Linked DNA regions of Caenorhabditis elegans. The protein of the gene in region 1 interacts with the protein of each later gene in a pairwise test. Each region holds a gene or a part of one and is shown on either strand. Other genes may lie near its edges.

The links.
Region 2: the proteins of eyg-1 (region 1) and zip-7 interact in a two-hybrid assay, tested with the Caenorhabditis elegans proteins (one large-scale study listed by BioGRID).
Region 3: the proteins of eyg-1 (region 1) and fos-1 interact in a two-hybrid assay, tested with the Caenorhabditis elegans proteins (one large-scale study listed by BioGRID).

The regions. Positions count from the first base shown.
Region 1 is NC_003280.10:9,825,730-9,830,145, forward strand, and holds eyg-1 (Homeobox domain-containing protein), read right to left. Parts: upstream 2,224-4,416; 5' UTR 2,198-2,223; coding exon 2,149-2,197; intron 2,089-2,148; coding exon 1,982-2,088; intron 1,930-1,981; coding exon 1,833-1,929; intron 1,562-1,832; coding exon 1,178-1,561; intron 1,092-1,177; coding exon 784-1,091; 3' UTR 719-783; downstream 1-718. Other genes in the region: ZK938.1 (Serine/threonine-protein phosphatase), read left to right, coding at 3,763-3,802, 3,856-3,983, 4,059-4,337, 4,385-4,416.
Region 2 is NC_003282.8:16,503,099-16,507,514, forward strand, and holds the start of zip-7 (BZIP domain-containing protein), read right to left. Parts: upstream 2,585-4,416; 5' UTR 2,572-2,584; coding exon 2,455-2,571; intron 2,352-2,454; coding exon 2,157-2,351; intron 1,140-2,156; coding exon 1,032-1,139; intron 493-1,031; coding exon 355-492; 3' UTR 1-354. Other genes in the region: Y51H4A.935 (uncharacterized protein), read right to left, coding at 3,522-3,557, 3,864-3,998, 4,054-4,065.
Region 3 is NC_003283.11:6,006,256-6,010,671, reverse strand, and holds the start of fos-1 (Transcription factor fos-1), read right to left. Parts: upstream 2,107-4,416; coding exon 1,849-2,106; intron 1-1,848. UniProt on the Caenorhabditis elegans protein: Developmentally regulated transcription factor which binds and recognizes the enhancer DNA sequence 5'-TGA[CG]TCA-3'.

The DNA.
Region 1 (4,416 bases):
CGAGTTCATTAATTTCTTGATTTCTTGACACAATTTATCAAGAAATCAAGAAACAAGAATTCTTGACAAAATGTCAAGAAATCAAGAAATTCAAGAAATCTATCAATCAAGAATGCCCACCCCTGGTTGGTATAACTTTATCCCGGGGACTAACGACTTCTAACTTGACAGAACATATCTGCATTGTACATCGTTACTCTATTGTTCACACCTTGTTCAATAACAAGAGTAAATAAATAATGAATCAAAAAGAGAAGATTTTTGTACACGCAAAGAGTATCACTTGCTCGCGCACCGCGCACATTGTTTGTAATTTGATCTCGCATCATCTTATTTTCCCGCCAAAGATACGGTATATTAGTTGCAAATGAATGAGAAGCCGATACAAATGTGTGCGAGTGACAATACATTGTGAAATGGATATTAGGTGTTTCATAGGGAAGAGGAGATGGACTTTCTCTCTTTGATCTCAAAGCTTTGAGCAATTGTTTGCACAATAGGGAGCACAAAACTACCGTAACCCAAAAAGTTTGAGTAGACTTTAACTGAGTATTGGGCCACTTATGTTTCAATCTAGAAGGTGGGAATTGCATATAGGGGAAAGTTAGTGCGCTCTTCTTCTAAATTCACAAGAATTTATCGCTCAAAATGTGAAGATTGGAACTAGCATTTTGATAGTTAGCATTACGCTTTTTTAAAAATATTTTAAAACCAGAAGTTTTATCACTTTAACAATTTTATTACCAGAATCTTTCATAAATATTAAAACATCTTCAATTTGCATCATTCATAAGGTTTAAATAAAGTTATTGTCTTCTTTTTCCCTTCGTCACTTCCCGTTTCCTGTCCTCCTCCAGGTGATGGTGACTGACTGGAAATACTTAAAGCATCATCTGTTTCAGATCGTTCAGCTCTCAATTCATCTCGATCACTTCCATTTGCATTTGTCTTTCGCCATTTTGCACGACGATTTGAAAACCAGACTTGTATACGTGCTTCTGGCAAATTGGTTCTCTTGACAAGATCAGCTCGTTCATTGGGAGATGGGTAGGGATCGCGGAGGAAGACTTCTTCCAGACTTTGTAGTTGTTCTGTAAGTATAAAAGTTAGACATTTGCTGCAATCTCCATAAAAATGAAAAGGTAAAGCTGTATGAAATTTGAAAAAAAAAACTAACCATTTGTAAAAGTACTCCTCGAGAGTCTTCTAGCATTTGCGCCAAGAGTTGAGTCGTCTTCCGACAAATTCAGATTCGAGTCTACCGATATTTGCCCAGAATTTCCAAAAACTCCAGGACCTCCTGCTCCTCCTGACTGAACAGGCGGAGCCAACGCTCCTGAGTTCAATAGCAACGACAGCTGAGCAGGATTTGGTAACAGTCCAGGCCAAACCAATGGGAATGGGAATGGAAATGCAGGAGGCAGTCGGACTTGTTGAGCACGCGGACGAGCTAGATGTTGAGCCGAAAGGATCATTTGAAGCTCCTCAGCTGCTCGTTCGGCTGCACGAGTACGGAGGATACGATTGATAGATGAAACCGAGGGTGGGGTGGTGCAAACGTCTGAAAATTTGTTGTTTGGATACAGAAATTTAACATTATTTGCTTTTATTAAAATTATTGAGCGAGACGGAGAAATTAACTAAATTTTTAAGATCAAGTTTTTTAAGTCAAAAATTTGAATTCCCATAAAAATTGTTTGAACATGATAAGACTTTTTGGAAAACACAAAGTCAGTAGCCAAGAATTGTCGTTATAAGTTTTTTTAATATAATTCAATTAATTCATCAGGTAACAATCATATTGAATTCAATCTAATAATGCTTGAACATACCTTCACTTATGAGCTTTTCCCTGATCTCCCACGCAAAGATTGTTGGGTTATCCCTTTTGTATTGCTCAATTTTTGCAACGACTTGTGGAGTAGCAACCTACAATTTTTATTTAAATCAAAAACAACTGTTTATCATAATAAAATCTCACCTTCGGTTTTGTTCCAGCACCGCCCGCGGCATTACTGTTGCCTGATGGTTTTCCGCCATCAGACTGCGAAGTTCGTCTTGTCATTTTGCCCATGGTGTTGTGAGCTCCTAAAAACAATTATTCCATTAAGATTTTTTTATATAATAACTTATAAAATTCAAACTTACCCCAAAAATGCAAAAGCTGCTCTTGAGATAGTGGTTGTTGAGCAGCCATAAAAATTTGTGTCGTGGTAAACCGTGAGTGAACCGTATCTAACCTTTAGCTTAGCTTATCCTCTTCAAAGACCCCGCCTACTTTTCTACAGTACCCCACATTGTGTTGAATATATGGCGGCATCATTAAAAGGGGCGGAGGAGTTGTGTAATGAAGTGTTGTACGGACAATATAATGCAGATTAACTGGTTAAGAAGGATGAGTGAGGTCAGAGTTATGATAGGTGCATCTGAGTCCATGTTGTCGAGCTGTATTCGATAATATCCAAAAATGTGAACTGTGAATGTGATACCGTATTTTCACTATCTCATTTGCATCTAATCGTTTAGGACTGGACCAGTTTTATAAAACATTATCAACTGGAAAAATTTGTACTTTTTCCTTATGGTTTTGTTTTTTTTCTGATCTCTGGAAAAATAACCGGGATATAAGTTGTCTAAATCTTTCCGCTGTTGATTTGATTTATTAGAATCATGCACGTAAGTTGATATGGCTCATGAAAGACGATCAAGTGAGCTCTATTTCTATAACCAAATTTAGTTTTAAACATATAATGTGAAAATCTTTATAAATTTGATAAATCCAAAGGAATGTGAGTTGTCTAAAAAGAGCAAAGGATGCCAGACACACAGAAACAATTTATCAGAAAAAAAAACAAGTAAAATAAAAAACTCAATTCTTTGTACTTTCCACATGTAAATTATTGCGCAATTCCTCTTAACCTTTGTCTAATGTACACATGAATGAGCTGTCCCGTGTCCCCTCAAAAGTGTGAAGTACCAGAGTGTGATCTGACAGGACACCGACAACACATCAACACAGAAAACACATAGAAGATATCAGATTTCAATCTGATCTATCTTCGGCGCGACAAGCAGCGACGATGGCTAACGGAATGAGCCAGCAGCACTTGACATTCATGTTCGTGTGCTAATCATCATTGTGCACATCCGGACCCACTTCAAAATTGGGTGTCGGTACAGGAAAATGAGAGCCGAAAAGGGATGCAGAAGTGGTCTTGTTGGATTTACATAACAATTATTGGACAATAAGGCAGGATAAAGGGCAGCTGCAAGACTGTTTGGGAGAATTAAGGAATGCTTTTTAATTTCAAAGTCTAGATTTGATGCCAACTATTTAAAAATGGAGTAGTGCGAATGGGGATTTTGATCTAAAAAGTAGCCAAAATTGAAAAAAAAAATCACGTTTATTTTAGTCGGATTTTTAGTGTTCTTAATTTTTTTCGTTTTTCTTTTGTGGTATTTGGTGGTACCTGAATTTCAGAAAGTTCTGGGTATCGTAAAAATCCCCCACATTCTAAAACGTGAAGCAAACAAAATATTCTGTTAAGTTGTCAGAAGATTTTTAAAAATAAATCAAAAAATCAAAACTTTTGCATATAGTCTAGTGTGACCCCTCCTCCCATCGAGTTGTTATCTTTGATAAGATCTTCCAACTCTTCAAAACAAGGACTTCGATTGAAAATAATTTATTCCCACTTTAACTAACCATCGCGGCATCTCGCATCTTCTACTCACTGCTAACAACACTAACCTACGCTCGAAATGGTCAACATTCCCAACTTTATCGATAAGGTTTTATCAGGTAAATTAATTTAGCAGATTTAAAGTTTCATACTGTAACGTTATAATTTTCAGTCAACGACACTTCTAACGCCTCTCTAACACATTGCATCAAAGAGGCAGATATTGATGGCGTCATCGAGGAATGTAAGGATATCCTCTCAGCGCAAGCGACAATGGTTGAGGTTCAGGCGCCGATTGCGGTACGTTGACTTTTGACTTTTTAGTAAAATAGAGAGTTATTCTTGAAGTTCCTGCCAGAATACGTGTACTTTCAGGTCTGTGGAGACATTCATGGGCAGTATACTGATCTTCTTCGAATCTTCAACAGATGCTCATTCCCGCCGGATCAAAACTACCTGTTCCTGGGCGACTACGTGGATCGAGGACGTCAACAACTTGAAGTCATTTGTCTCCTCATGGCATACAAAGTCAGGTATCCAAATGGGTTCTTTATACTCCGAGGAAACCACGAGTGTGCTTCAATCAACCGTACGTATGGATTTTACGATGAGTGTAAACGAAGATATTCTTTGGCTCTATACAATGAGTTCCAAGTAAGTTTTAGTGCGTTGCGGTATTCTGTCAAACCTCAGTATTTCAGAATTTGTTCAACAGTCTCCCATTGTGCGCAAT
Region 2 (4,416 bases), on another chromosome or scaffold:
GTACAGCTTCGAAGAGTGAAAAATCGACAAAATACAATCAAAAACTAACAAAAATTAAAGAAAAAACGCGAAAATTCGGAGAAATTAGCGAAAACTGAGCGAAAAATAATTTGAAAATGAGTTTTTCTGTGCATTCTGCCGTGACGGTGTTTGCAGACTCGGAATTGCTTACCGTAGTCGCTCATTTATTTTTTTTGAAAAAATGCATTTTTCTTCAAAAATAGCTATATTTTTACAGAAAATTACAAAAAAAAAGTGACGCAATGAGAGGGTGGTGTGTGGAAATTCGATACAGAAGCAAGGATTTGAATGTGTGTGCAAGAATGAGATGATTTTGTGTGGGAGGGGAGAAGCTTAATAACTCGGCATATTCGCCATGGCAATCGGGTCCATAGTGTCTATAGTGCCCGGATTTTGCAGGAGCAAATGTTGTCTCATCGATTCGTTTTGTAGTTGGAGCTGTTGGACGTAGACTCGCAAGCATTGATTTTCCTGGAGAAAAAATAATTATTAATTGATTGATAAAAATTTTATGCCGTCAGAACTAAGCCTTTTATCAGAGTTACTCTTTATTTTTAGTCCGAAAAAAAAGTAAAGTTAAACTTTAACGAAACAAAAAAGAAAAGCCACTCCCTGGAATTGATCCAACGAGTGCTCACACCGAACTGCGTCCACTACCTACTGCTCCAAACCAACAAATCTTTCCAACACCATTCTTGGTGAACATATCGAAAAGTGGAACACCATTAAGGGAACAAACGTTACTGTACGTGTGCACTAGAGCGCGTTTGCAAAACTATCAAAAAGTACTTTTAAAAGTGTCGGTTATCTACAAAAAGCCATCTGATATTCCCGAAATTTATTGAAAAATTGGGAAAAGTCGGCGTGGGCGCGTTCTCAAAGTTATTGCGTAGCCAGGCTGACACCTGTTGACTGATGACGTCATCAATTAAGCCCTTTTTTGGAAAAAAAAACCCGCCAAAAAAAATGATGCAAAGGATTATTATCTATGGGAAATTTTGAAAACGTACCCTCTCCAAATATGTTACACGAACACTATTGTCCTGATCGACTTTCTTGCGAGATTCTCTGGATTTACGGGCGGCTTCGTTGTTTCGGCGGCGCCGGTCGAGATAGGCCTGGAAAATTGGATTTATTCGAGAGGATTTTGGACTATTAGCTGTCGATTTACGGAGCTCGTGTACTCCTCGTGGAAGAGTTTACACTGGTTTTTTGAAGAAAAAAAAACGGCTGAAAAGCTTGATTTTGGCCAATTTTCACTGATTTTTGTTGGATTTTGATGGTAAATTGTCATTTTATGACATAATTTATAGTTTTTAACTCAAAAATTGCCGATTCAAACGTTAAATACAAGAAAAATCAGCAAAATTGGCATAAAAATACTTTTTTCAAACGAAAACCCAGAGAAATCAACTCCACGAGGAGTACACGGCCTCCGTAAATCGACACGTGGCTAGCTATTAATTCATACGACTTTTTAAATTCATACGACTTTTTAATTCATACGCCTTTTTAAGAAAAATACGGCTAAAAAACTTTATTTTGGATCTTTTTTGCTGATTTTTTTTGTATTTTACATTAAAATTGTCAACTTATCTCGATTTAAATGCAAAATACGAGAAAAATCAGCAAAATTGGTCCAAAATAACGTTTTTTCACTGAAAAATCAGAAAAAAACTCTATTTTCAGTTTAAAAAAATCAATTTTTCAACTTCGTGGCAGTGAAATTAGAGAAAAAACTCGGCCACCACTTTGAAAACCAGCGGAAATTAAAAAAAACAGTTCAATTTTCATAGCAGAACACGGTTTTCTGGCCTCATAAATTGAAATGGAAGAGTTTGCAGAACTAGGCCATTTTGGCTCGGCCATATCTGGGATAGATTTACGTCGCATTGCGTGTCGCGTCGCGGCTCGGATTTGTCCGTGTGGAGTACACGACACTCTCCCACTCGTTGTCCGGCGGGCGATTGTCAATGGAGCGCGAAACATTCAATGAGGAAAACCAGAACCCTGTGGCAGAAGGAATCCAGGAAACCTCGGCCGCCATTTTTTCTCGGCCACATCTAACACTAGCAGATCGGCCGTTTTTTTCTGGTGGCCGAGTTTTCTCATTTCTCGGCCATTTAATCTCTTACCTCATCCTTTTGATTTTCCGGCACCGGAACCGGTTTTTTCTTCTTACTCCCACTGCTGCCACTCTGCTGATTTTGAGACGACGTGGTGGATGACGTGGAAGACGATGACGGGGAAAAAGATGACGTGGCATGGGGATTCGCGTATGGCGCGAAATGTTGAGCAAAAAATGGGAGAGCAGTGGCTGCGGAGTAGTTCTAAGAAAAAAATTTAATTTTTTGTTAAAAAGCATTTTTGAAACAGTAAAAAAATTTTTTTACTTTTTCAAATTTCAGAAAAATTCCAAAAAAAATTACAAACCTTATCAAAAGCTCCTGCTCCATACGGATTCTGTGCGTACATCTGATTGAATGCCTTTATAGAATCCGAATCACACATTCTCGAGGCAGCCAGCTGCTGTTGAATGTCTGTCATCATCTGGAAATAATCTGGAAATTGGTGGAGAATTGGTGGAAAATGGCTAGAAATTTAGGAAAAAGCTTCCAAAGAACACAGTAATAAGTTGAAAAAAATTATAATAAAACAAATTTTTTTGAAACAGAATTTTTTTTAAATTTTCAAAACCAAAACCGTATTACTCAACAGTTACCAAACTATTACACCGGAACTTATGAGCTACCGCATGCTGAGAAAAAGTCTGCACGCAAACAGGACACCTCTACAGGCCCTACTAGACCCGCCTCCTCCCCCATTTGCCCACGGGGTCTCTAAAGACGGGCGGCTCTTTTTATGATGATTTGAACTGTAATGGCGCAATCGTTGCGTCGTTGTTCTCTAACTAACTAACTACCGTCTGCTGTTAGTTGAATAATGTACCGCAAAAGAGATTGGTGGTGGTCCTAAATGTATAACGAGGTGGCAATAGGTGGGCATGTCTTGGAGTTCCGTGGGGAAAACTGGGCATAACTTGAAAAGTGTAAGAGCTAATAAAAAGTTGTCAACCAACAAAATGTTTAAAATCAATTTTGCAATATTTTCATAGTTAAAATCTTTTTGATAACTTCAATAGCTAAGGAGATATAAGCCTTCAAACTTAAAAATCGGTAATTTTAGTTGGAGTTTTGCGCGAAAAACTACCATAACTGAAAAAGTATCGGAGCTAGTGAAAAGTTGCCAACTAAAAAAATGTTCAACATAAATTTATAAATATTTTCCCAGTTGACAACTTTTTGATAGCTACAATGGCTGAGGAGATACTACTTCTTCTGTAAAAAACGCTCGTACTTCAACTTGCTAACAATTTTCCCTTGTAAATTCCACTTGTTAAATGCTTCACATGAAACAGGCACCAATTCAAAAATTCAAAAATTAACACAAAAATCCCAATAAAACTGGTTTATTCAAGTGAAAAATGAGAATCCTGAAAATTATTGTGGCACGGCGAGCTCCTCGTAGTTGCCTTCCTGAAATCAGAATTGTTTCTTTAAAAGTAGGACCTTCCTCATTGCATTATTCGCGCTCTATTGACAATCGCCTGCCGGACAACGCGTGGGAAAGTGTCGTGTACTTCACACGGACAAATCCGAGCCGCGACGCGACACGCAACGCCCCGTAAATCTACTGAGCCAAAATGGCCTAGTTCGGCAAAACTCTTACATTTCAGAATAGGAGGGAAGGCAGAAACCTGTGGTACGTATCCCAAATCAGCAAAATTAATTAAACAATGCGTTGCGGTCGCGTTGCGGTCGCGTCGCGGTCACACAACTCACAGTTTCATCCTTCTTCTCCTTTGGAGCCCCTAACTTTGATTTATTTGTTCCTTCCGGAGAATTTGCTGACTTCTTCTTCTTTCCGCCACAATTCATCACCAGAGATCCGAAAATCACAAGAATTGGAAGCACGAGCTGTAAATTTCGGAGCATTTTTTGCAGGCAGGCAGGCAGGCAGGCTTAAACTGACTTGTGCAATCATTTGGCTTCTTCTTCGTTTCAGTGGAATGGAATTTTTAAACAAAATTCGAAACTGATTTTTTCGATTATTGATTTTTAGTTGGCGACTTTGAAAAAAAAACACGTTTTTTTTGAAAATTATTTCCCAGTTTCACGAAAAAATTAAAATTATTTTCAACATTTTTTTCCATTCAATACGTTTTCACGCGTTTCCCCCGATAATATTCAAATTTCCGTATGTCAGAATAGCGGTAAATTCAAAGAAATTACGCAAGTTTTTGGGGTATGTGTACTTGAACATACGCACACACAGATTATTGCGTTACCACATTAGGACCACGGGGGTATAATGAGTTGGGGGGTGTTGGCCTTG
Region 3 (4,416 bases), on another chromosome or scaffold:
ACTCAAGACACTTCAAAAACTATAATCTTTTTTTTGGCAATTAGATAGCAGTATAAGCAAAAATTTTCAAAAGACGTAGAGTGATAAAATGAACCGTAATAACCAGAATTCGTTGTCCTGATGACCTACATCAAGCAAAAATTAAAAGAAAACATTTATGTAAAACTCAGAATATAAAAAAGTTGTTTCACTTTTTGCTCTATTTCAGCGAATTATATCTGTATTGTTCCAACTGATGAAATATGTTTCAAATATTTTCGTAAATTTTGATAATTTAATACCGTATTTCTTCTATTAATATGGCTGCAATACTATTTTTCGATTCCTTCCCGCTTGCAATACTAATAGGGAGTGCAAGACTATTATGGAGTGCAATACTAATTTTCAGAACATTTTCTGACTTTGAGCTTACTAGTTTTTTCCTGAAAAAGCTCGAATCATATGTAAAAATTCAGAAAATTTGATTTTCATATAAGTTCAAAAACTTCAATCTCGTAGAAATGATGTGAAAACTGTTGCCAAATAGGCAAAAAATGTTGTTGAAATCCTGAAATTAGCGAGACGGGTTTGCAATACAAAAAAGTTAACGCAAGACTATTAGAGAGTGCAAGACTAATAGGGAGTGCAATACTAATTTTCGGAAGGTCTCCGAGGGGCAATACTAATAGGGAGTGCAAGTCTAATAGGGAGGCCATATTAATAGAAGATATACGGTAATTTAAAATCTACTTATCAAAGCCTATCAAAAACCAACAAAGCAGAAAGATGGGTATTCTACATTGGTGCGTTCGCTAGAAATAGTTTTTCTTTCAGTAAGTGTTGGAAATTGATAATTAAAAGGTTTCAATTGTCTTATCATTTTTTTATCAACTCTTCCTTTTTCACCGTCATTTGTCAAAATTCTCAGTGGGTTAAACTGATTTAGAACTGAAAAGAATACTGTTTCACACCTACATGTTCAAAATGAAATAGAATACCTGTGAATATAATTGTTCTGAGTTCACATTTGCCAGTTTATTACATTTTTTGTTAAAGTTTGTTTTATTTACAAATAAAGCTCAAAAATTATTTTTGTAAGTCTGGTCTTCAGCGACAATAATTCTAAGAAAACTGGTAAAAAGTTGTCAGCGCAAAGAAGGAACGCTAAAACACGTGATCTCTTTTTATTCGTAGGTCCCAAGCTCAAAGCAGAAGTGACAGATATTTTTTGAATATTTAAAAAATTTGCGTGCCTGTAATATTTTCACTGGCACCGAAAAAAGTTAACATATAAGTATTACTTATCTTTTTTCAACAGGTGCAAACAGGAAACAATCCAAAACGGATTAGCGAGTGCATGAGAGGTAAAGAAGATCACAAAAGTAACAATTGGGGGAAAGGTGAAAGATAGATAGATTACTGTAGAAGTGTGTAAACACGTCGGCATCTTCTTTTAAGATTCCTCGTGCACCACCTATCCATATACATTTAATCCATAACCAAATAGTTTTATTTTTCCGGAACTAAAATCCGGGGGAGATGGCTGGTAAGAACATTTTTGAGGGAAAAGATTCAAGAGCTAGGTAACTTTTTTCTGCATGACTTTTGCACAAAAGAATTAGTGAACGCTTTACTTTTTGGTTTGATACTTTCAGAATTAATATTAAACTAAATGAAAGTAAGCTACTATAATCTCATTTTTATATGGGAAAGAAGAGATCAACTGACAAATGTAAGGCTCGAGGTTGAGTGAAAAATGAGTGAAAGTAATGATTTAAAAGCTCTATCAAAACTCGTGATTATTAGCAAGGGAATAGTGGACTTTGAAGTAAACACTGAATTAAGGAAGATATTTGTGATGTATCATACCTGCAGGAAATCAGTTCCAAAGAATAAAGGGAGTCCATATGCATTTGATGGATAATATGGTGTACACGGAGTTAGAGGTGAGTTGTCGGTTTGTTGTTGGTGGATCTGATGGTGATGTTGTCGCGGTGGAACAATGACTGATGTCGGGTGCGCTTGGTTGATCGGGTTCCTGGGACCCAATTCGAAGTAGTGATTGGAATCGGAGCCAGAACCAGAGCTCGTGGTGGTGTTAGTCGTCGACGATGGTTGTTCGAACATTCCACTCTCTTATATAGCAGAGGTGCTGACACACGATCGGGGCCAAACACAGAAGGTGAGTAACCGGGAATAGAAGTGGAAAAAGTAGGGGGAAGAAAAGGGATTCTGATTCACGAAGATGACTCTTCTAGGTGATGATTAGCACAACACGGGTTGATTGTATCTTTGGACAGGGGACCAGCGATGACAAAAGTAAGTTGCGTGTGTGGGCAGGTGTTTGGTTGAGAGAAGAAAGGAGCGAGGGAAAGAGAAAACTGTCGAGAGCAACGGCCACCGCGAACGGTGCGCAAGCTCCGCCCACACCTTCGGGAGGACGACACCAAATTTGAATTTTCAAAGAGCCACCGCCAATGATATCACCAAGAAAACGCCGGCTGGTGACGGGGTGGCCGACGGAACTGTGTATTAAAGTGCACGAGAGTTTTTGATAACTTTTGATTTCGAATATGTGACAATTGACTAGATGGTGGGTGTACGGTATTTATGTAACATACAAAAAAAAACAGAAACTGTCGAGAAAGGAGACAAAAAAGGCGAACCATTGGGTGCTTTCTGTTTAGATATTGATGGTGAGTCAGCAACATCGAAGACGAGATGGGAAACAAAAAATGGTATTGTTTGGGATAGAAGAACCGGAGACGTCGTCGTCTTCCCTTCTTTTATTCTACAAAAGTATGACATTCCGGGGAGCAGGTGCTCTCTTTGCCAATTCAGCTAATTATTTCTTCTGTGAAGCTTCCCGAGTTTCTAACTCAAATAACCCAATTGGCATTTGGCTCGTTGATTGCAGAGAAGAGGTGATGAATACCGATGATTCAGTGCGATGCGTGCACGCGGAACGAAGGATGACACTAACAGGTATGTGTCGTTTGTTGACCCAAAAGCAACAGCAACATTTAAATATTTGGATGGATGTCTAAGTCTATAAATTTAACAGGCAATAAACTTTTAATAACCTTTTTGGATGAGAGGGGCCTAGCTCAAATAAAATAAAATCTAAACGTTTACAGCTTATATCAGTTGTCATTTGTTCTATTGAGAAATTGCCAACTGACAACATTTTTCAAAAATTATTTGTCTGTCGCTTGAATTTACTTATTCACTAATATCTTCACAATGGACCGAGCTGTTACTTTTTTAAAATGGCGCAGTAGAGTAGTAGAGGACAAATAGAGGAAATATTATAATTTAAATTTTGAAATTGCATGCCATACTAATGAAAGACATGAGGTAGTCATCAAACATTGGGTGCAAAATAATCATTTACTTGTTTCAAGAAAGTATTTCCAATTTCTATGAAACATGCTATACTTTCGTTATGATCTGAAGCTAGGTTGCATTTTGAAAACAACATTTGAGCTTTCTGAAACTCAGTCCAATCAAGGGCTGTACAGCCAGCTTCTGCTGACATCGATCTTGATTAGACTGACACCGAGCTCAATAGATTTACCAGAGCCAGGAACTTATATTGATGCGATCTCAAAAAAGCTCAGCTTCCAAAACATTTTATCATATTTTCAATATGACTACCCGTTACGGAAATTTTTTAAAAATATTTACAAGTTCAAAACCGAGCTACAAATATCTCCAAAAAGATTTTCAATAATTCATCAATTTACTCGAAATATTTTAAATCAGGGGACGTTTTGGCCAGTAAATCATGAAATGTTAACTTCCAAGCTCCAATAAAAAGACTACCAAATCTCTGAAACTTTTCCAGCTTCTGATGTTTAAAATTCAAAATGTTCTGTTTGTACAGTACAACAGTTTCACACTTCTTTTTTCCCAAATCTTTTCAATTTCCTTCTACTCCCTTGTTTCTTCCCGATCGTGCCCTAGATAGTACTCCAATCACAATAGACGCAGAAAATGCACTTTTTCCACCTTTTCCCTTTTTCTTGAATGACGTGATACCGGTGTGTGCGTACCGGTGCCGAAATGAAAAGACAACGGAATTTGAATTTTTATTTTGGAAAAAAAAAGAAGAAATTTGGAGAGAGAAGTGAGAAGTGGGACAAGGAGAATGAAAGCTACCACGCGACATGCTTGTACTATTCGGTGGATACAGGTGTTTTCGGGAAGAAACAGTAATAACAGGATATTTTAGTTTTATGCGGGAAACAAATATTTTAGTCTAAAATTTATTCACTTTACGATTTCAAATATTTCCTAAATCTCAAAGATGGAGCAGTTGTTACAGTTTTAAAAATCTGAATTGAATAAATAGGTTCCCCAGTGTCGCAACACAGTCTTTAAAAATCTTGAAAACATGTTACTTGAATTAAAAAAGATTTGAAATATCTGTGGACT